3 linked regions of the Nothobranchius furzeri genome follow. Each later gene encodes a partner of the first gene's protein in a complex. Links are inferred from orthologs where the notes say so. Each region holds a gene or a part of one and is shown in the gene's direction. Other genes may lie near its edges.

The links.
Region 2: transmembrane protein 237B (region 1) and tmem216 share a complex: the UniProt entries of both Homo sapiens proteins name them as parts of the tectonic-like complex. The link is inferred for Nothobranchius furzeri from reciprocal best matches to the Homo sapiens genes TMEM237 and TMEM216.
Region 3: transmembrane protein 237B (region 1) and tmem17 share a complex: the UniProt entries of both Homo sapiens proteins name them as parts of the tectonic-like complex. The link is inferred for Nothobranchius furzeri from reciprocal best matches to the Homo sapiens genes TMEM237 and TMEM17.

Annotation. Positions count from the first base shown.
Region 1 is NC_091742.1:64,220,535-64,227,589, reverse strand, and holds the start of transmembrane protein 237B, read left to right. Parts: upstream 1-2,539; 5' UTR 2,540-2,723; coding exon 2,724-2,747; intron 2,748-2,933; coding exon 2,934-2,963; intron 2,964-7,055. UniProt on the Homo sapiens protein: Component of the transition zone in primary cilia. Required for ciliogenesis.
Region 2 is NC_091741.1:65,723,315-65,730,294, forward strand, and holds tmem216 (transmembrane protein 216), read left to right. Parts: upstream 1-2,996; 5' UTR 2,997-3,018; coding exon 3,019-3,073; intron 3,074-3,607; coding exon 3,608-3,621; intron 3,622-3,688; coding exon 3,689-3,782; intron 3,783-4,001; coding exon 4,002-4,094; intron 4,095-6,401; coding exon 6,402-6,603; intron 6,604-6,693; coding exon 6,694-6,709; 3' UTR 6,710-6,889; downstream 6,890-6,980. Other genes in the region: tmed9 (transmembrane emp24 domain-containing protein 9), read right to left, coding at 1,277-1,433. UniProt on the Homo sapiens protein: Part of the tectonic-like complex which is required for tissue-specific ciliogenesis and may regulate ciliary membrane composition.
Region 3 is NC_091744.1:77,712,311-77,718,890, forward strand, and holds tmem17 (transmembrane protein 17B), read left to right. Parts: upstream 1-1,978; 5' UTR 1,979-2,061; coding exon 2,062-2,176; intron 2,177-2,311; coding exon 2,312-2,415; intron 2,416-2,618; coding exon 2,619-2,732; intron 2,733-2,809; coding exon 2,810-2,953; intron 2,954-3,089; coding exon 3,090-3,167; 3' UTR 3,168-3,825; downstream 3,826-6,580. Other genes in the region: agbl2 (cytosolic carboxypeptidase 2), read right to left, coding at 3,840-4,008, 4,096-4,126, 4,198-4,347, 4,410-4,500, 4,878-4,976, 5,055-5,147, 5,221-5,340, 5,658-5,730 and 4 more. UniProt on the Homo sapiens protein: Transmembrane component of the tectonic-like complex, a complex localized at the transition zone of primary cilia and acting as a barrier that prevents diffusion of transmembrane proteins between the cilia and plasma membranes.

The DNA of each region.
Region 1 (7,055 bases):
TATTAGATATTTGGCAAGATGTCCAAATGTCAGGAAATAAGACTCCAAATCCTGCCGTCTGAAGCTCAACTCCAGAGTGGCTCACTTTTACAGCACAGGCCAAATGTTTGGACACACCTTCTCATTCAATGTGTTGTCTTTATGTTCATGACCATTTACATTGGCAGATTCTCTCTGAAGGCATCAAAACTATGAATGAACACATGTGGAGTTATGTACTTCGTCGACTCGTCGTCTTCCTCCGCTTATCCGGGTCCGGGTCGCGGGGGCAGCATCCCAACTAGGGAGCTCCAGACCGTCCTCTCCCCGGCCACCTCCACCAGCTCCTCTGGCAGGACCCCAAGGCGTTCCCGGACCAGATTGGAGATGTAACCTCTCCAACGTGTCCTGGGTCGACCCGGGGGGCTCCTGCCGGCAGGACATGCCCGAAACACCTCCCCGGGGAGGCGTCCAGGAGGCATCCTGACCAGATGCCCAAACCACCTCAACTGGCTCCTTTCGATCCGGAGGAGCAGCGGTTCTACTCCGAGTCCCTCCCGAATGTCCGAGCTCCTCACCCTATCTCTAAGGCTGAGCCCGGCCACCCTACGGAGGGAACTCATTTTGGCCGCTTGTATCCGTGGTCTCGTTCTTTCGGTCATTACCCAAAGCTCATGACCATAGGTGAGGATTGGGACGTAGCTCGACCGGTAAATCGAGAGCCTGGCTTTCTGGCTCAGCTCCCTCTTCACCTTCTGCTGGAACCGCAGCATTGTGGGAGGACACAAGATAGTGCGGTTTTCTAGGTCCAAACTTCTTTTGTTGGTCGTGACTTCAAATGGTGTTTTTCTCTTTGGGACTCTAGTAGTTTGTCCTAAAGTAGAAGTGGTAGCAGCCGGCTGTTTCTCCTTCTCTGATTTTAGTGGAGAACCTCTCACACCAGTGGTGTTCTGCTGCTAAATACGTGAGTGTGTGATGAACGGAGTACCCAGGGAAGTGTTTGGTTAAATAGCTGCTGGTGTTGGCGGTGGCTTTAACACAAATGCCAGAGAATCATTGAATGAATTTATTTCTTTTTTTAAATCTCCAGTTTAGCTTTACTACGTTAGAATGTTGTTAAGAGGCTAAAAGTTTTAGGCCAACTTGTTTTCCATATTTACTATAGAAGCTTTAACTTGGGTCTGACACAGCTTAGGAATACACAACTTGGGGTACATATGGGTTAGTTACTGGAGACCTGGTTGTTTTCAAGAGACTTGATACCACTCAGTCTGACGCAGTTGTTTTTTCACCCTCCTTGCATGCTGGTGGTGTTCAGGTGGAACTGGTGACTAGTGTGTACGGCAGACCCACCTCAGTCAGTTAGCCCCAGGGCAGCTGTGGCTACATTGTGACTCATCACCACCAGCATGTGAATGTGTGTGTGGATGAGTAAAAGACTGATGTATTGTAAAGTGCCTTGAGGGGTTTAAAGACTCTAGAAGGCACTATGCATACCATCTCCCATTTAGCTGTTACCTACAAGAGTATTTACAAATTAAAAAGTCTCGTTCACTTTTTTTTTTCAAGAAATGTGTTTTGGTCTCTATTATGACTGAATCCCTTTTTAGTCGTTTTCTGTACAAAAAATGCTCTGGTGTTGATTACAAGTCTTTCTCATTAATATTCATGATATGCCAACATCTAGCCTCTGATTGGCTTACAGCAATGTTAACAAAACCAAGAATACTATAAAATTGTTTTAAAGAACTATTATAGCTTTAAAATCTTCATAGTGTGTCCCTTTTAAATAAATGTGCTCATGGCGACAGACATGTTTTTTGTATTGGTATAACGCTGCATGTTTTTCTTAGCTTTTTAAACTACCGTAGTTTGTTGTTCATCTTTCCTGATTCAACAACGGTGAGCAGGATGCAATAGCGGTGAGTGACCGCTAGAGAGAGCTAAGTGAACATGAAACTGATTCCCACTTCACACTTGTTTCTCAATAATATGCAGCATTATTGAAAATGCAGCATTATTGAGAAAAGCATTTCACTGTATTAGGAGATTAAATTCTATCAAGTGTCATTAGTGACAAAAATATCTTTGTAGTTCTTAAGATATGTTTTTTTAAAAAGCATAATTTGTTTAAAACTATTAAAAGAGAATACATATTTGTTTGTCGTATCTCAAAAAGTTGTATTTAAAAACTTAAATTCTTATGAATAGATCGTTTTTCCTGCACATTTGTGTTCATATTTATTGTAATTGTGACTTGCTTACAACAAGGATCAGGCCATGAGGCAGCAGCAAAAGCAGAACATATCTTAGAACTTGATGAAAAGACACATAAAACAATTACAGACATAAAAAAACATTTTCGCATAAAAGTATAATCTACATGAAAAACACTGAGCTTTCCAGAAAAGATTAGCCTCCTTACAGGGTGAATCCATGTGGGGTCAAAGGTTATCCAACAGTCCCCGTCTACGGTTTCAACCTCTTCCACTGACAAAAAATGATTTCTATTCTATATTAATAACAATAATACATTTTGATATTTACGTCGATCCGTCGCTTTTATTTTGAAGACGTAAACATTGCTCTCGCGCGCACATCCGGTGTCCAAGAACGCTGCTCCAAACACAATTAGCGCGCTACTCGAGTTTAAAAACATTTTTGGAGTAGAATCTGCTTCTATTTTGATGAGGGTGTGACCGGGTTGCTTATTACTGTCGTGTTGTTCGGTGAAAAGATTAAGAATGGACGCAGGACACGCAAACGTGGGAAGTTTTTACCCTCTTTAGCTAGCCTTCATAGTGTTTTGTGATTTAAATACGTCAAATAATATCAATGCAATCCAGTCAAATGCTTTATTATTGTGTTAAGTTGTTCGTTTGAAGTGTTTATGTGATAATATTAATGTTGTACGCGATAATGCTCGAACTAATGTAAGTTCTTTGTATGTTCAGAGGGTCAGGGAGCTCCCTCCGCTAACACAGGTCAGTGACTCACACCCACGTACGCAGCCTCATCATTGTTTGTTCTCATATTATATGAATTACTTACTGCAGCCGCAGTGTCATAACAAACGGAGGGACCGCCGATCATACTAGCGTGCTCTTCCCCGGCTGCGCCATTCACACACTCACCACGTTTCCATGGCAACAGACGGTTAGATGATAGATGTTGTGTAAGAGAAGCATAACTCCAGTAACACCCACACAAATACTAAACGTCTAATGTAACGTTGGGACATATTTTAACTATGTTATTTTGCTACTGTAAGGAGTTTCAAAAATGTTTTTAAAGCTTTTTAAATCGTGAAAGCACGAACCGGAAGTCAGCTTTTACTTTGAAAGCAGCACCTCAGCTAGAAAGCGGAAGTACTGCAAATTTTATCGTAAAACGTTACAACGTAAAAGTAATGGTCCTTATTTGAGGAGTTTTAAAAGAAAATATGCTATTGGAAGATTTTAAATATTTTGTAAAATATCTTCATAACGGTGAAGAAATATTCAAAAACGTCTAAATCTTTATATTGTTATAGAAGTGTTTATTTTTATTACTAACATATTGCTTTGTCTAAAGAAGCACCTGCTTCATTGTGACTGCTGAGCATTAATAAATGTACACGATGGAAGTTAGAACTAGAAAGTCAGGTCATTTAAAAATGTTTCAGATAAGCAAAAAATGTAAATATCAGTCAAATATAACCTGGGTTAACATAAAACGAAGGAGTAGAAAGCTATCCAAAACAACTTTGCCCTATCTTTAAACACTTTTCCCCTTTTGTTAAATTAACCCCTTATCTATAAAGATAACTTCACTTCCCCTGTTGAAGAATTGTAGCATTAAGAAATCACTTCAATAGAATTTGTCTGATAGCATGAAGAAGGAAGGTTAAAAGACCTCAAAAAGCAACAAACCATGCCCCGTTCGTAAGGGATTCAGGAAAAAAGGAATCCAGAACGACATCTGAATCCCCTCAGGTCTGAGTACCATGACAAGCCCACTACTGACCAAGGATTTACCAACAACCACCATATAGCTTTATGAAACTTTGGAGCTCTTTGTTTATTATTTATATACTTAAATATGCAAGTGAGGCCTTTGAGTAGTTTACTGTTGTACCAGTATCATTAGAAAGATTAAACCAGATTCCACTGAATCCTTTCATTTTAAACTTCTCTGTAATAAACCACTTCACTGCTGCTTCATCTGACCTTTGACCCCAAGTAATCCTCAGTCCTGCCAGATTTAGCCGAGGATTTCAGAGTTGGGATGACGCGTGTTGCTTTGCTTCACTTTGACTCAGTTCTTAGTTGAAATAACCAGAACGACGACGGTAAGATTTTTGTCATCTTGCCTGTTTGATATGATCTTGTCACTAACGAGAGTCGGTGCTTTAAATACACTCATGCCGTGTGCTTGTCTGGTTTTGTAGGAGAGGATGTGACTGTTTGTAAAAATGGATTTACTGAAATGTCTTGCCACGGATCTGGTTTGTATTTGGCGATACCACTTCTGAAAATTCAGTTTCATTAGAGAAAATAACTGCTAGCTAGATGTTTTTTTTTTTTTGCCCTTTTCTGACCGACATGCCGTGTTTGACAGTTTCCAGTTAGATTTAATAGCACTTCATACTGAAAGGTAAACATGCATGTCTTTCATTTAACGTGTTGCCTTTAAATTCCATTAGTTTGCAATACATTACTCTAATGTTGTAACCAGCGGGGATCCAAAGGGAATATTTTTATTTTGAGGAAAGCACTTTGATTAGTGCTTTGCACACTCCTCAAAACTTAGTTTAGGCAGCATAATTATTCATTTTCACTTTTAAACAGGGGTCAGTGGCTGAGTTACAGCGGGCTAACATACTGTTAAAAAGAGAAATTACAAAGGCTAAACATGAATATAGAAGACAGCTGGAGAACAAAATGGCAGCAAATAAACTTGGTTCAGCATGGACTAGCATGAGAATTATTGCAGGACATGGCTCCGAGGCACAGTACACAACCATCTGTCTAGACCCGTTTAACACTGACAGGGAACTAGCTAATGCCCTGAACAGTTTTGATTGTCGGTATGACGCTCTGGATTTCAGCGGGGAACAGGGTGTCCTGAGGGAGAAATTTAAGGATAGTGACCATTTTAAAGTTGACATGGAGGACATAGGTAGGGCCATCAGGACAGTTAGAGTGGACAAGAGCCGAGGACCAGATGACATTTGTGGCCACTTACTTAAATTCTGTGCATACCAGCTGACACCTATACTGCACCACATTTTTAATGAATCTTTACGGTTACAAAAGTTCCCTGAACCGTGGAAGGATGCAGAAATTGTACCGATTCCTAAGGTGAGACATCCAGGTATTTTAAATGATTTCCGCCTTGTTGCTCTAACTTCCATTTTAATGAAAATCTTTGAAAAGCTGGTTAGATGCGAGCTTTTAAAGCAGACACAGCGACTGCTGGACCCTCTACAGTTTGCACATCAGGCTGGGAGGGGTGTGGAGGATGCAACGGTCACTCTGTTAGATATGCTTTTCATCATCTGGACCTAGTAGGAACTCATGCTCGACTCCTCTTTGTGGACTTTTCGTCCGCTTTCAACACCAACCTACTGCTTTGGTTAATAGGCTAGAGGAACAGTTTCACCTGAGTAAAAGCATGCTTGGGTGGATACTAGATTTTATGAGCAACAGAACACAAAAGGTCAGAGTGAATGGTACCCTGTCGGATAAGAAAAATGTGTCTACCGGATCTCCCCAGGGCTGTGTTTTGTCCCCCTTGTTGTATATTTTATACACTAACATGTGCCGAGGCAAACATGAGAGAAGGACAATTATTAAATATGCTGATGATTCGGTAGTAGTAAGTCTCCAGAGAGAAGGAGATTACAGCCGTGGACCTGTTCTTGATGATTTTATCTCTTGGTGTGATGAATCATATCTACAACTTAATGTAATTAAAACAAAAGATACGATCATCGATTTTAGAAGGCAGCCACAACAACAGCATGATCTTTCCATAATTAAAGGTCAAACGATTGAGCAAGTGAAATCATATAAATATTTGGGGACAATTATTGACAAGGAGTTGAATTTTGAGGAAAACTGTGATGCTGTGGGTAAGAAAGGCCAGCAGCGTTTGTACTGCCGTAGAAAACTGGCCTCATTCCATGTGGACAGGACTATAATGTCCATGTTTTATTGTTCTTTTATTGAAAGTGTTTTATCCTTTTCCTTAGCCTCATGGTTTGGTCAGGTAAATCTTAAACAAAAGGAAACGCTGAACAGGATAGTAAAGTGGTCCGGTCGTCTGCTTGGAAAACAGGGAAAAGTGTGGCACAGCTGTACAGTGGACAGGTAGAGAGGATTGCTAAAGCTATTGTTAGGGACACGGGACACCCACTGCATGGCCAGCTTACTCTCCTGCCATCTGGACGGAGATTTATTGTGCCAAAGTGCAGGACCAAGAGGTGCAAAACAAGCTTTATTCCCAAGGCAGTAACGTTACTTATTTTTATTTTTATTCATTTATTGTTTATATTTTTCATTGATGTGTGTGTTTTGTGACTGTGTGTGTAACCTGGGCGCTAATTCTCGTGTCACATGGCAAATCAAATTCACCTGTGGGTATTAATAAAGTTACCTTGAACCTCAAAACTTAGTTTTGGCAGCACAATTATTCATTTTCACCTCAAACTAGAGCTTTTAGTGCATTTAGACCAACATTAAAACGGGCAAGAAGAAACAAGAAAAAAGAACAAAATATGTATTCAGGACAAAAGTAACCATGCTAAAAATGCAGACGTGTGTTTTATTTTTTTCCCTCTGCGTTTTAAAGGGCTTTATGCATGTTGAATAAATGTAGTGGTATCATTTTGGATGACGGCATGCTCGTTAAACAATAAATGTTTACATAAAACAAATGTGTTCTGAGTGCAAATTTAAATGTATATATGTCATTTTACTTATAATATAGTAATGACCCCTCCCACTGCAGGAGCTGCAATGGGCAAGGTGCATTGTGGGTAGGCAAGTTCTTAGATAATTTGTTCTGTTTTGGCCTGTACCGTGTTGCTTCCG
Region 2 (6,980 bases), on another chromosome or scaffold:
CTTAAACCTGTTTCATTATGCTGCACCTTCTGCACTATAACTCCTCAGCCTTTAACTTAGCCCTTTTATCTTATTTGTACGTCTAATTTTATTTGTGCATTTAAATTTGTTCAAATAATTTGTGTATTTTAAAATCGGCTGTTTTTATGTCATCGTTTACATTTTAATGTTTTATATTCTTGATGTCCTTCCTTCTGGAAAGCACAGTGAATTGCTTTGGTGTATGAAATGTCCTATAAAAATAAAGGTGCCTTGCCTAAAAACCTAAAAAGAGAGAAAAAAAACCTGAATTGAGATATGGGTTCATAAGTTCATTGTTCCTGTCTGCTGTGTGTTCCCAGCTTGGATCAGTTACAAGTAGCCTGTTTAGAATTTCCTGTAGTGAATTTGTAACAAAATGTCTTTTGGACACAGTCAAAACAAATTTCCCAGGTTAAAAAGTGGTGTACCACAGGGATCTGTTCTTGGTTCTCTGCTGCTCTCTCTCCACAGTCACCTTTGTCAAATATAAAATACAAAAATGTTTTTATTTAGCTGAAGGAAGATTTACAAATACAATTTTGAATGTCACAATGTAACTATTAAAAAGTGGAGGCCACAAAGCTGCTTTTCAATTCTGATAACGGTTACTGCTGATTCTGTGTCCTTCAGAGATTAAAACAACACTTTGTCAAGACTTGTATTATCCAGTTGAACACTGGGAACTTAGTCTGTGTTCTAAAATGTCTGTGGTTCATCACTTGACTAAAATTGCATGTCTGGTCTTATTGTTTAGTTCAGAGTGAAACGTTTGTGACAGACACTAACTTTGAACAGATGTAATCACCTGAAATGTTCATTTTGTGAAAAGAGATAGATTATTTACCTTAAGAAGGAATCAAACGGTTGCTAAATATTTCTTTTAATTAAACTGCTGATGTCAACATAGTACACGTTTACATTTGCAACCTAAAAGGCATCAGTTTTTCACTATTCAAGCGGAGAATTTTTAAAGAAATATATAATTAAGAAATATTAAGCAGAGATATGTATTTACTTCAACTTTAAACAAAATCTAACAGGAAACTTCCTGAAAACGCATAATTGAATCGGTTTAGCTGCAACCGGTAAAATAGTTTATAGGATATAGGTTTATATAAAGCTTCGGAGAGATATAAAACATTTCTGAGCTCAGCACAAGCTTGACATTTGTTGATTTCCTGTGAAGAGACAAGTTTACTTCAACTCAGCATGGCGCTAACAGCTTTAGCTAACAGCATTAAGCTCCGACACTCACCGATAATCATCGTCTCGTCTGGAATTTCCTCTATGAAACATTTCTTCTCGGTCTCTCCGATGTGAAAGTACAAAGAGGAGACGCAGATGTATAAAGCATTCAGGAATAAAACTGAAAACACAAACGACTGCTGCATCTTGAACCGCAACGACACCATCTTCCTGCCGGGACAGACTTGTCACTGAGCATGCGCAGGAACAACAGTGCCACGTAAACCCTCGAAAAGTCCTGGCCAATCAGTACGCTGCTGATGCATGCTGGATATTGCCGTTTTTTTGACACCTTGGCCCTTATTTGAATTAAAATGCTTTCAACGATTTTACAGAACCCTCTGCGATTTTTTGGTTTGGATCGAAATGGGATGTGATTAGTTTCAGAAAACGGATAGATTGATTTTCTGTATAAAGTGATCATTATTTGAACGTGATGGTTATTCTTTTGTCCGACAACAGACATACAATTTCATAAATAAACAATTAAACATTTTCTCCTGCAATCTTTGGGTGATAAATGATAGACTGAATGAATTTGAATTTATAAAGAAAACCAATAGGCTACTTCAGATGAAAAATAGAATAACCCAATTTTGTTTTGTTTTAGCTCTTTATTTGATGAATAATAGATTCATTTGTGGGAAAAATAATAAAGCTTGATTTGATATTTTATTAACGTAACTATATATTCTACAGAAAACACAAAAAACAAAACAGGTTTAGACCATCGACATACACATTAGACCCGTTTTTAATCCACGGGTGCACGTGAAAGACTGTAGAAACTCGATAGATCCAAAAGGGGGCAGTAGTGCAGCCCTTATGATGAAGAGGACCGAAAAAGAAAAACCAGCGCGACCGGAAGCACACAGACATGTAAAATGTAGAAGCTGCACTGAAATCCTCAGACTGCATAATGCATTTATGGCGTGAAATATAGTTTTCCTTTTTTGATTCATTACAAGCCTAAACGTTTTACGATTACAATAGTGTCGGAATAAACAGACAATATATATTTAAAAAAAACATACAACTGGTGAATAATTTTGAGCTAATGAGTTTGGTTTCTTTTAGTTTTAAAAACAATACATTCTTATTGATTTGGTTTAACTAGCACAAAATTATCTTAAGCTCAGTATACTGAAACGATCGATTACCCTGGTGATTGTATTACATTTTATGAGTAACAAACAACAAAAAAAGGCCTAAATAAAAAATAGCCTAAATTTTCTAAATTACTTGATTATTAATCACGAACAATTTTTATATGAAATAAAAATATTTTGATGAACACAAAACAGAGGTAAAGCCCAGTTTCAGTTAGACACCAATTAAACAAAATTAGTTTTCGTCACGTTTCTAACTAAAGATTGAAATGAATCGGGATTTGTCTTAATCCTGCTGTTAGTGTCTGTAGTGCAGTGCAGGCAGCTGATGGAGACTGTTCAGGGTCATCCTGACCAAATGAAGACGGGTGATGATCTGAATACATCTTAAAAAATAGAAAACATGAAGGCGAGTCACTTCTGAGATGCGCCTAAAATGTTCTGCACTGCGACCGGTGTGGATGGATTAAATTTTAAACAGAGATGTTCCGTACCACTGATGCTTCGAGTATGGATTGGGATTAGAGTAGTAAAAGATCTGCTGGCTTTTAGCTGTAAGCCGTTCCAAAAAGCCTGAGTCTGCTTCGCCCGTCTCCCTCTCCAATATGGCGGCTTCGAAATTACATAAAAGAAAGCAGCGTGTATGTGTTCTAAGTCTATGGTATCCATAGCAACCAGAAATCAAGACATGGCGCCTGGTGAGTTTCATGCAGTTGTTTGTTCCTTATAAACCGAATAAAAGTCCGCCGTCTGAATCTGTCGCGATGTTTATTTGGACCCAAATGAAAAGGGAAATGTAACGTTTTCGTTTCCGTTTGGAGGAAAAGCTAAAGAAAACGGCAGCCGAGGTTTATCTTGTCTGTGAACTGAAGCTAAGCGTCTGCTCGAACTGCGATGACCTAAAAATCAACACATTACTTATCAGCGAACACGTTACTGCGTATTACTCCTAAAAGCTACGCAGTAACAAATAATCTTTTTATTGTGGAAAACACGTATTTCGTGCTTTTTTACGTAAACAAAAATATTATTTTATAGATGCAAGATCCAGATGAGTGATTTTCTCTCTATATAAATAGCATTTAGAGCTAGTTACATCATTTAGCCCTACTGTTTTTCTTTTACTATTTTATCCATCAGTAGTAAGTCAGTAATTTTACTGATGCTGATTTTGAGCCTACAGCATACTAATTGCAGATGTTAATGAGAGCTTGGTTCTGTCTCTTCTGCAGGAAGCCAGCCTGTTGTATCCTTATATAACTGGCAGCTCATGTTTTACCTGCTGCTGTTATCCTTGACCGTCTCTCGTACAGCTCTCATCCACTCCTCTGCAGGTGCTCCTGTACCTGAACAGCTGGTACTTTGCTGCCTTCTACCTGGCAGAGATCCTCATGTTCATTTATAAAGGTCTGTGACATATTTACCAAATTTCCCACTTTCACAACAGCAGAAACTATAAACTCAGGAGGAACCATGATTAATCACATCTCAACTGTGCCTTCATCTGCTTTAGTTTTCAAATAAATCCTCAGTGTTCATGAGATAACACCTGGCAACCAAACAGCTCCTTGATGAAACCTTCTCTGTGGAAACCAAAAAGAGATGTGGTCCATTTTGTCTGTGCAGGAATCTTGTTGCCGTACCCATCAGACAATCTGGTTCTGGACGTGGTTCTGCTCCTTCTCTTCCTCGGTTTGGAGACTCTGAGGATCTTTTATGGTAAAGAACAGAAACAGCAAACATGAGTATTTAGAAATCAGTGTTTACTAGTTCTGTGAGCATGTATACGTCACCTCCTCCGGGTGACCACATACTTCCACAGTCACTATAGAGGCAGAGAATGGGTCTAGGGGTCTCATTTATCAGACATTGCGTAGATTCCTTAATAAAACCGTACTTAAGCTCAGCAAAAAAAAAGTACTTACGCCAAGCAGGTTTGTGATCTATCAAACATGGAGGACGCACAGCTGCACGCAATCTCCGCTTCATAAATCGGAGACTAACGAGAATGTTTCTCAGCTGCTTTTTAGTCACATCCCGCCCTCACCACAGCCACTTACTGCCATAAATAGCCAATGCAAAGTGCCTTGTGGATCTCATGCATATACATAAGCTGGCTTGTTGCAGCATTTCGATCACGACCGCAGATCAAGGAAGCGCTATTTCACAAGCAGAAATTCAGGTACTTGTGGGTGAGGTGGAGAAATGAAAGGAAGTGCTTTTGCAAAACAAGAGAAATTCCACGGAGTGGCACAATGTTGCTGAAGCCATCAATGTTTTGAATTCTTCAGAGAGATCTGTGGCGGATATAAAAAACTTTGTCCAATCAGGATTCGATCCCCAGACTCCCAGGTGAAAGTCACGCACGCTAACCAGCCACCCAAACAGAAATCTCCCCTGTACAAGTAGCCAGGGCGCATGATCAATCGGGTCACGGTGACAGGACGCTCACACTGTCTTGATCTGTCCCCCTGCTGATATTCTGCATTCCGTATTCTGCGCTTTAGGCTGTGTGTGTGTGCGCGCGTGTGTGTGTGCATGTGGGGGTCTTGTCTGTGTGAAAACGAAGCAGTACAAGTGATAATGCTGCAGGATTTCATAATTTTATCCTTCTCGGCAGCACTGCAGGTGCTCTCCATGTCCAACATGTGTGTAAGCAAGGTCCTTAGTCAACTTAAAGTTGCGCACATTTTCCTGCTAAGTTTTCTTTCATAAATCCCAAAGTTTGCGTGGAAAGTTCCTTACGCAGTTTTCCGACCCCGTGTTGTGTGTAAGCAAGCTTGATAAATGAGGCCCCAGGTCTATTTGTTTGATGCGCTGTCAGCTTCTCATGAACCCACAGAGAGATGGGATGCATTTCTCCATTTATTATAGCTTTTTACTGTTACAGGTGGCTTTAACTTAATTTGGGTCAAATCCCTAAACATAACGTGACCATGTAAACAAAGTAAGACGAACTGAATTGTAATGGTCAACAATAACTACGGCTACCCATCCCTCCTCTGTAAAACCACCAGGCGACAGACTGACAGCTCCTTTTGATTGCGACCACCTGCACCCATGTGGCCCCTGTTGCGTCACCATGACAACAAAAAGAGGAATAAAACAGAAACCCAGTGATCAACTCTCCCAACACATGTATTTAATTATGGCTCTACAGCACATGTAAGGACTTGTTTTTAAATCCCTGTGAAAATCCTGCACCAGACTGTCTTTGATAAATAACTGAACACAATCATTAAAACTGAAGCTGAACAGTTATATTAGTTATAACATAGAAGTCAGTGTCTCAGTTTGTGTGAACGTGTGTGTCTGAACACGTCATCCAGCAGGAGCTACTGAGAAGAACTCGTGAAGTGAAATGTTTACTGTAAACTCTTTAAACCTCTGATACAAGACTAAGCAGCCAAACCAGCTCTGATTTTAACTTAATGAATTTAACCAGTTTGAAACATGTTCAGTCATCACTGTTTATGAGACGTTTTATAGCAACAAGTACAACAGGTGTCTAAATATACTGAAATCAATTGATTTAAAAATATATAAAAAATAAAAGCTATATAAAGTTTTTAAAGAGGCTTGGATCCTCTGGTTTTAATATAAAGCTACGCACTTCCCAAACGTACCACATGAAATCTGAAGTCAAATCTTGGAAAAAATATCAAAAATCAAATCAAAACAAAACAACAACCACAACCAGTTCAATGACTTTCCCAACCAATCCACCAGTCTGAGGATTACCACAGCATACAGAAAGCAGGCAAAAAAATACCAAACAAACTTAATCATCATCACAAAGTGACATTTATGAGAATCTACACAAGTTCTATTTCATTTCCTGTTTTACCAAGGAAGACATAAATGTGCTTCTAAAAATTGAGGAGAATGTTTGGGTCGTCCCATCTGTGCTCTTGCCGTTAAAAGCCTCCGTTTGTGGGAGCCCTTCAGTGAAATGGAAGCAGGTTATTTTCTGCTTTAAGCAGATAGACCATCTCACTGAGTGGTGTGCATTGTGTCGTCGTCTAGGCTGGAAGGGGAACCTGTGTGAGCGTTCTCTGTCCTCCTGCATGTCCCTCTCCATCCTGCTTCCCTGTGCGGCACTGGCTGTTTATTACCTGCTGCTGCAGACCTTCGTCCTTCGCCTCGAGTTTATCCTCAGCTCCATCCTGCTCTGCTTCTACAGCCTAGAGTTTCTCCTTGGAGTCATCTCCATATCCACCTTCTCCAGGTGACCACATCTTGGGGGCTATTGGGGGCTTCAGAGGAAGTGACCTATTTTTATTTTATGGTTTGTTTTCCTTTTCCGTTTCTTCTGTAGGTCTAAGGTTTACTGAAGAACAAACCATCATCTGAAACACATCAGGACAGACCAGATGAGCCTTCCTCACTAAAAGGAACCTGTATTTTTATACAACGATATTATTTTGTAAATATGTTTAAAGTTTTCCTTCTGTAAGACTGTTTTATGTCTGAACTTTCTAAATAAAAGCCAAAGTGACAAAGCCAAACACTAAATCAGCCTCACATTTCTAAGGACAGAAGTAGAGTAGATCTGTTTTGACTCAGATCAGGAGTGCAGGTAACCATGATGTGGCGTTACTAGAT
Region 3 (6,580 bases), on another chromosome or scaffold:
GTTCGTGTTAATCTGTTAACTATAACCACCTGTAATGCTTTTATTTTCTGTCTCAGCTGTCGCAGACGCTTCTCTTTTTCATGAAGTCCTTGCTGGAATAGCTTCTTGTGTCCAACATGTTTCTAATAAAATATAGAAGTTTTACTTATTTGTTTTTGCTCAATAATGTGTTCAACCACAAGGACATTTAAAATGTAGGAATAAAGTCTCTACATTTTATCTATATGCTGTATCTTTGGGATCCAATAACCAACCAAAAAAAGCGTACCTGTTTCTCTTTCCGCCCTGCTGCAGCTGATACAGTGTAATGACCTTTGTGCTCATCCATGACACAAAGCAGACAAATGCATTCATCGTCAGTGCGACAGCAAACCTCCAGCAGCTTGTCGTGCTTAGAGCAGATCTTCTCTTGCATGGAAGATGACACTTCCACCAGCTTGTGCCTTTTGAAAGCAGCAGACTCAGTGAGGCTGCACATGTGTGGCACAATAAGAGGCCAGACACACCAAGCACGATCTGATAGCTTTCAGCTTCTTCACAGTGCAGAAATCACACTCCACACCTTCTGACCCAGACTCCTCTTCTCCAGCAATGGTGGCTTGGTCTGATTTAGCCAGTTTTACTATCAGATCAGCCAGAACTGTGTTCTTGTTCAGCACAGGTCTTGAGGGGAATGTGTGTAGACACTGAATACAGTTGTAAACACCTCTCGTCTCCTTCAGGACCCAGTAGCTGTTCACACAGTCCATGCAGAAGTCCACATGTCCACAGTAAAGAGGGTTCTTCATCAGCTTTGAACACATGTAGCTGGACAGAGAATCAGCTGCCTCTCTTGTTGCAGCCATCCTAGTTTCTGCTAGAGCGGGAGTGGCTTCACACACAATCAGTAATTTTCATTTTCTCTTAAAGCAAAAAAACAACAACTATGAAACAGGTTTTTTCCTCCTCCTGGTGTTATTTGCCTGACTTGTATAACTAAAAAAAACTTACTGAGCATGGTTCCCATAAGTATGGAAGCCCATTCCTGCCACTCTGATTAAAAAAATGTATCTCATAATTATGACTTACCTATCTCATAATAACAAGACACAATCTCATTATTTAGGGATAGCGTCTCATAATTATGAGATACTATCTATTCATTTCAGCCCCACATCTCATCACGTAGGGTGGAAATTAATCATTAAATGGTATGAATGGTTTGATTAATTAAATTTCATGAACTATTTTTTACTGATTCAAGACTTTGTTAACCCTCCCACTGTCTTTATGGGTGACCCCGCGAGGAAAGTTGACCATAAAGCAGGATTGATGGTTTATCCCTTGAGGTCCACGTGGCAGGGGTGAGGTGGTGCTCACTCCTCACCCCTGCCACGTGGACCCAAGGGATAAACCATCAACCCTGCTCAATGGTCAACTTTCCTCGTGGGGTCACACCCATTAGGACAGTGGGAGGGTTTAAATATGTGCACCAAATTTTACTGGTGCAGAGAGGGAGGGAACTAGACAACACCTATTGAATACATACTATTTTTACATACACATTTTTTGCAGAAAGCCACAATTTTGTTTCACTTAAAACATTGTCAAAGAGAATCAACAGAGGGTTCGATAGAATGTTCGAATACTAAAATGTTCGATAGCTGCAACCCTAGTATCACTATAATGAGATAGCTAGTAAAAATTATGATGCTGTCTCATAGTAACTAATTATTCTGAGACATAAAGCCATATCAAATGCTATCTCATAATAATGAAATGAGATATTTTTTAATGAGTAGCGTTAATCAGCTTCCATAAATATTATTTGAGCTACACATTATACTCTCCCCCCTATCTAGTCTCGCTTTTTAAATTTTTATTATCAATGTAGTTAAAATCTGGGAAGTTTTGAAAACGCAAAAGGAGACACGTTTTGCTTCTGGCCTTTCACTTTCTCTCACCCCCACTACCATCAATGGTTACCATGGAAACGACGGTGGCTTTCACGACGGAGCTAGTAGGAAAAAGCGGAAGTGTTTCTCCTCTGGTCATGTTGTTTTTAGCCTGATTTTCTTTGCAATGGAGCTGCCGGAGACAGTTAGGAGGCGCTTAGAAGATTTTTCTCGGAATGTTTTATTCGACCAGACTCGTAATGAGCCGTTCTCAAAACACAACGACTCGTTTATACCTCACGGTAAAAAAAAAAAACAAAAACACAAGCTAACTATGAAGTCGAGTTAGCATGGATGTTAGCATGGATGTGTGTAGCCTTGTTACTTTACCATACCGATTTTAGTTAGTTCCCCTCATTTTTTTTGTATGTGTTTAGACAAACGGGTTCTGTCCAGCCTCCAGCTCCAGATGTCTTTGTACTTTAACACGTGGTTCTTCCCGTTCTGGTGGATCAGTGAAGCTGTGATGCTTCACCTCAAGGTACGAGGTTGGTGGATGGAAGCCGCGAGCAGAAAACCCAGAAAGAAAGAAAAATCCCAAATATCTAAGCTAGATTTAGGATACTTTGGTGCTTAAGTATGGATATGTATTAAACTATAGCAATTCATTTTAGAATCAGATTTTTCATGTATGTTTTGAAGCTTCCAACACAACAAGAATGCTGATGGTAGTTGTTCTTGCAGTATCCTGCCCTTCCAAATTACTACAAGTTTGTCCTTGTGACTGTTCTTCTACTGATGACTCTGATTGAGGCCATCAGACTTTATCTTGGTTACTCTGGAAACCTGCAAGAAAAGGTGAGACCATCTCAGATGACATGATACAGGTGCTGAATGCAGGGTGGGGTTTGAATGTAATTTCTGATCTGTGGAAGGTTCCAGAGTTGGCCGGCTTTTGGCTGCTGAGCATCCTGCTGCAGTTTCCACTCATTCTTTTTCAACTTTTTAATGAAGCCATAATCATACTGCCCTTGGAGAGAGGTGTCCACATAGTTCTTGCCATATTTATCCTCACACAGGTATGACTGGATTCTCAGCTCCATTTTACGTGGCAAATGCACCTAAATACACATGTTATTGTGTTTTCTCAAATTTGAGATCAAGTAATTGTGACTGATTGTAATCTGTTTTTTTTTTGTTTTCTGATTGATCCAGGCTGTCTTTGGTTTTGTGGCCCTGCGGGAAATGGTTAGACACACAGGAAGCCAGTTTCATCTCCAACAGTTTGACTGACGTCCACATATGTTCTGGTGTTCCATTTGATCAGGATTTATTCTTACTTCATACCTCCCAGTCTCAAATGACAAAAACTATGTATTTGCATATAGGATTTGGTACACTTTCTTCACACAATTTTAAATTTAATGCTAAAAAATAATAGAAAATATTTATTTTTGTATTTTGTTCCACTTGTATCATTGCTTTTGTAAATTTGAAGTAAATCATGTTTACTTGACTCACTCTGTACTGTTAGTTAGCATCTGGTTTAGATTTGTTGACCATTTAGTTATTTTTTAATTACAAAAGAAATTTTTGTACAAAGTTACCGACATTTACGCTGCTCTTTGTTCAGGAGCTTTTTGCTTCAGAGGGACTGAAACGTTCTGACCAAAACAGAAAGTTTCAACAAAATTCATGAAACACCCAAGTGCTTTATTTTATTTTATATTTTTTACAACATTTATTTTCATGTACTGAAAATATTATTTGAGAAATCATGAGATTGCATTAGAATAATCAGAAGAATTAAAGCATGTTATTGTCACAAGACGAAGAGATAAGTGAGATTTGGTATAAAACGTATGTGTTTTTCTGTTAGATCTTCCCAATGAAGCATCATTGTCACAAAAATAACTTGTTCTATTAAAATGCAGCTGAACTTTGAGAAGAATCCTGGCACCCGTTTCACTGCTTTGTCTTGATTAGGTTTGTGTTTGATGTGGAGGACGCCTGAAGACAAGATCTGTTTCTAAAACGATGCCGACTGCTGGTATTGGTGGAGGTGAAACTCGTCAGCGGCTGGTTTTTTGGAACAACAGCTGGAGCCATGCTGGTAGACAAAGATGGGGGACATCTGCCATGAAAGCAACACAGCATACAAAAATTATGAACACACAACACACCCTTTTGTAATAAACTATAATCTATCCATGAAGTTTACCTGCCAGGTGCTGCAAAAGGAGATGTCAGCCCTGAAAGAAGAAGGTGGTTCGCATTAGGCAAAAACCGATGGAGACTTTAAGCTGCTGTTCAAGAAACAAACCTCTGCAGACTTGAGAGTGGGAAAGAGATTGGCGCAGAGGGAAACGCTGGTGCTGCGCAGAGGGAATGAAAGTTGGAGGAAGTGGAAGGAGAGCACTCAGGTGTAGTAGCTGAGAGGAGCATTTCCACTGTCCTCTCACTATTGCATCACCTGTGAAACGAGTCATGCGTCCTTATCTGCTGGAAAACCTCCTATGTGTCTCCTAACCTTACCTGAGTGGGGTGACGCAGCTGCGCGCGTGTCGGCATGTGGAGACGCTCTCCGCTGAAGGCATGAAGTGCACCGGCTCCCTGAGCAGTTTTCCTAAAACACACAAAAAAATACCATAGAAAGATCCACAAGTTGGAATTAAAATAACACTTTTTATTATCTTTCATTAATGATCAAAAATTAAAGGTCATGTAATTTTGTAGCAGAAATAACAGTTACACTTGACAATAGAGGCCCCATTATTAATCTTAGTGCATTAATAAACAAAACATTTCCACTATTGTTAACTATTAGGTGTCCTTAAGGTTAGGACAAAGGGCCATGGACGATATCTGCTTAGTAATGCATTACATAATATGGTTAAGCTGTTGTTAACACTTTTATCTAATAATTTATTCATGCTTAATAATGCACTAAGTAACATTAATAAAGGGACCCTTATTGTAAAGTGTTACCGAAATAATGTTTACCAAGATGTGCTTGCAGTCTTTCCTCAGAGTCCCCTGACTGGCGTCTCCATGGTTACCAGTGGGAGATGAGAGTTCAACCTTTTTTATGAGGGTGTTGAGCTTCAAAATAAAAGTCTCTTATCAGGAAATCAAACTTCCCACCTAGTTACTTGTATCACATATCATATTTCTACTTACTGTAGTTTTTACCTGCTGTTTCCTTCTTTCTCCTCCAACAGGTTTCTCTCTTTTTCTCTGCTTATCTGTGTTGTCCTGAGGCAGGTCAGCCTCCTGCAGAAACGGTTACTCATCAGCTTACAGAACTAATTTAATCTGAGCAGCAAGGGCTCTTTACTAGTCTTACGATACTCGTGCTGCTGCGTTGTAGGACTTTTGGCCGTGCACTACTCCTCGCTCCGTCTGGCTGCAGCCCGTTTCTTTCTCTGCGAGACTTCAGTCGTTTCTTTTTCTTCTTGACTTTTTTCTGTAGGAGAGAACAATGTGAGTAGGTAATTACCCAAAACAGGGAATGATGAGCTGCTGAGACTTTTTTTTTAACGAAGTGACAAAAGTAACTTTTACTGCACACTGCTCTGTCCCTATTTCCTAGCAGTCATGGGACAAAACACCTGGAAAAGACCAAGTATAAAATATTTCTTTTTTTCAGTGTCAGGTGTGCTTCATACCAACATTTATTTGTTTAAATTGGGTATTTTTAAATGAAATAACTAACAATGCTACAAACTAATTTCCCTTAGAGGAAAAAAACAACATAATTTGGTTTAATTAGTCTTTGTATACTTCTGCATTCTGCAGCTGCTGCAGGAGATGAACTGGAAGTCCATCTGAGTCAGAGCTGTTTGAGCCACCGGTGCTGCAAAAGCAAAGCAGAGTAATGCACATCAGTTTCATTCAGATTTCCCTGAATGGCACTAGATTCAAGAAACTGAAACATTATTTCACCTTGTTTCCAGTTCAGACACAGAGACCTTTTGGTCGGTGCCCACATCTTTGCCAGTTCTCTCTCTGACCTTCTTCCCCAGCATTGTTGCCAATTCTGTCAAACAGTGTGTAACCTAAAATAAAATAAATAAAAAACACAAAATTAACCTCTAAACCTGCACAGAACAAACATCTCACACCATTTAATTACACTTTTTAAACCTGATTTATTTATTACAGTTTGTAGAATATATTGTTTCTTTTAGGTGAAAAGGAGCATTTTGTGATCTCTCGCCTTCGTCTTGTCGGGGTCACAGAAGTCCAGCAGGGTGTCACAGAAGTTAAAGCCCAGGGACTTCAGGTCTTGAGTGGAAAAGTGAGTCCCTCTCCTGTCATCTAAAGTAAAAATGAAGAAATGATGGTGTAAGTGTAGAAATGCATCAACATAATAGAGGGGGAGCATATTCACCCAGAGTGGAGCCTCCAAAGGTGGCCTCCATGGTGTAGCTGTTCCTGATGCCGAGTTTCCACATGGAGATTCGCCCAGTCCCCTCTTTGTTTTTCTCCACCCGGAATTTGCAGCTTTTAAAGGAGAACTAAGAGTAAAGATTTAGATGAGACACGGAGATAAAAACCAACTTCTTAAACAGGCAAACTAGAAATGTGATATAAAACTCTGTATAGTTTTTTTTTTTTTACCTTGTTGCTTGCGTTCTTGCTCATCATTAGTGGAAAGACCCTCTCTTTAAGTGTGAGGGATGCGTCGCCTCGGCTGCTGCAAC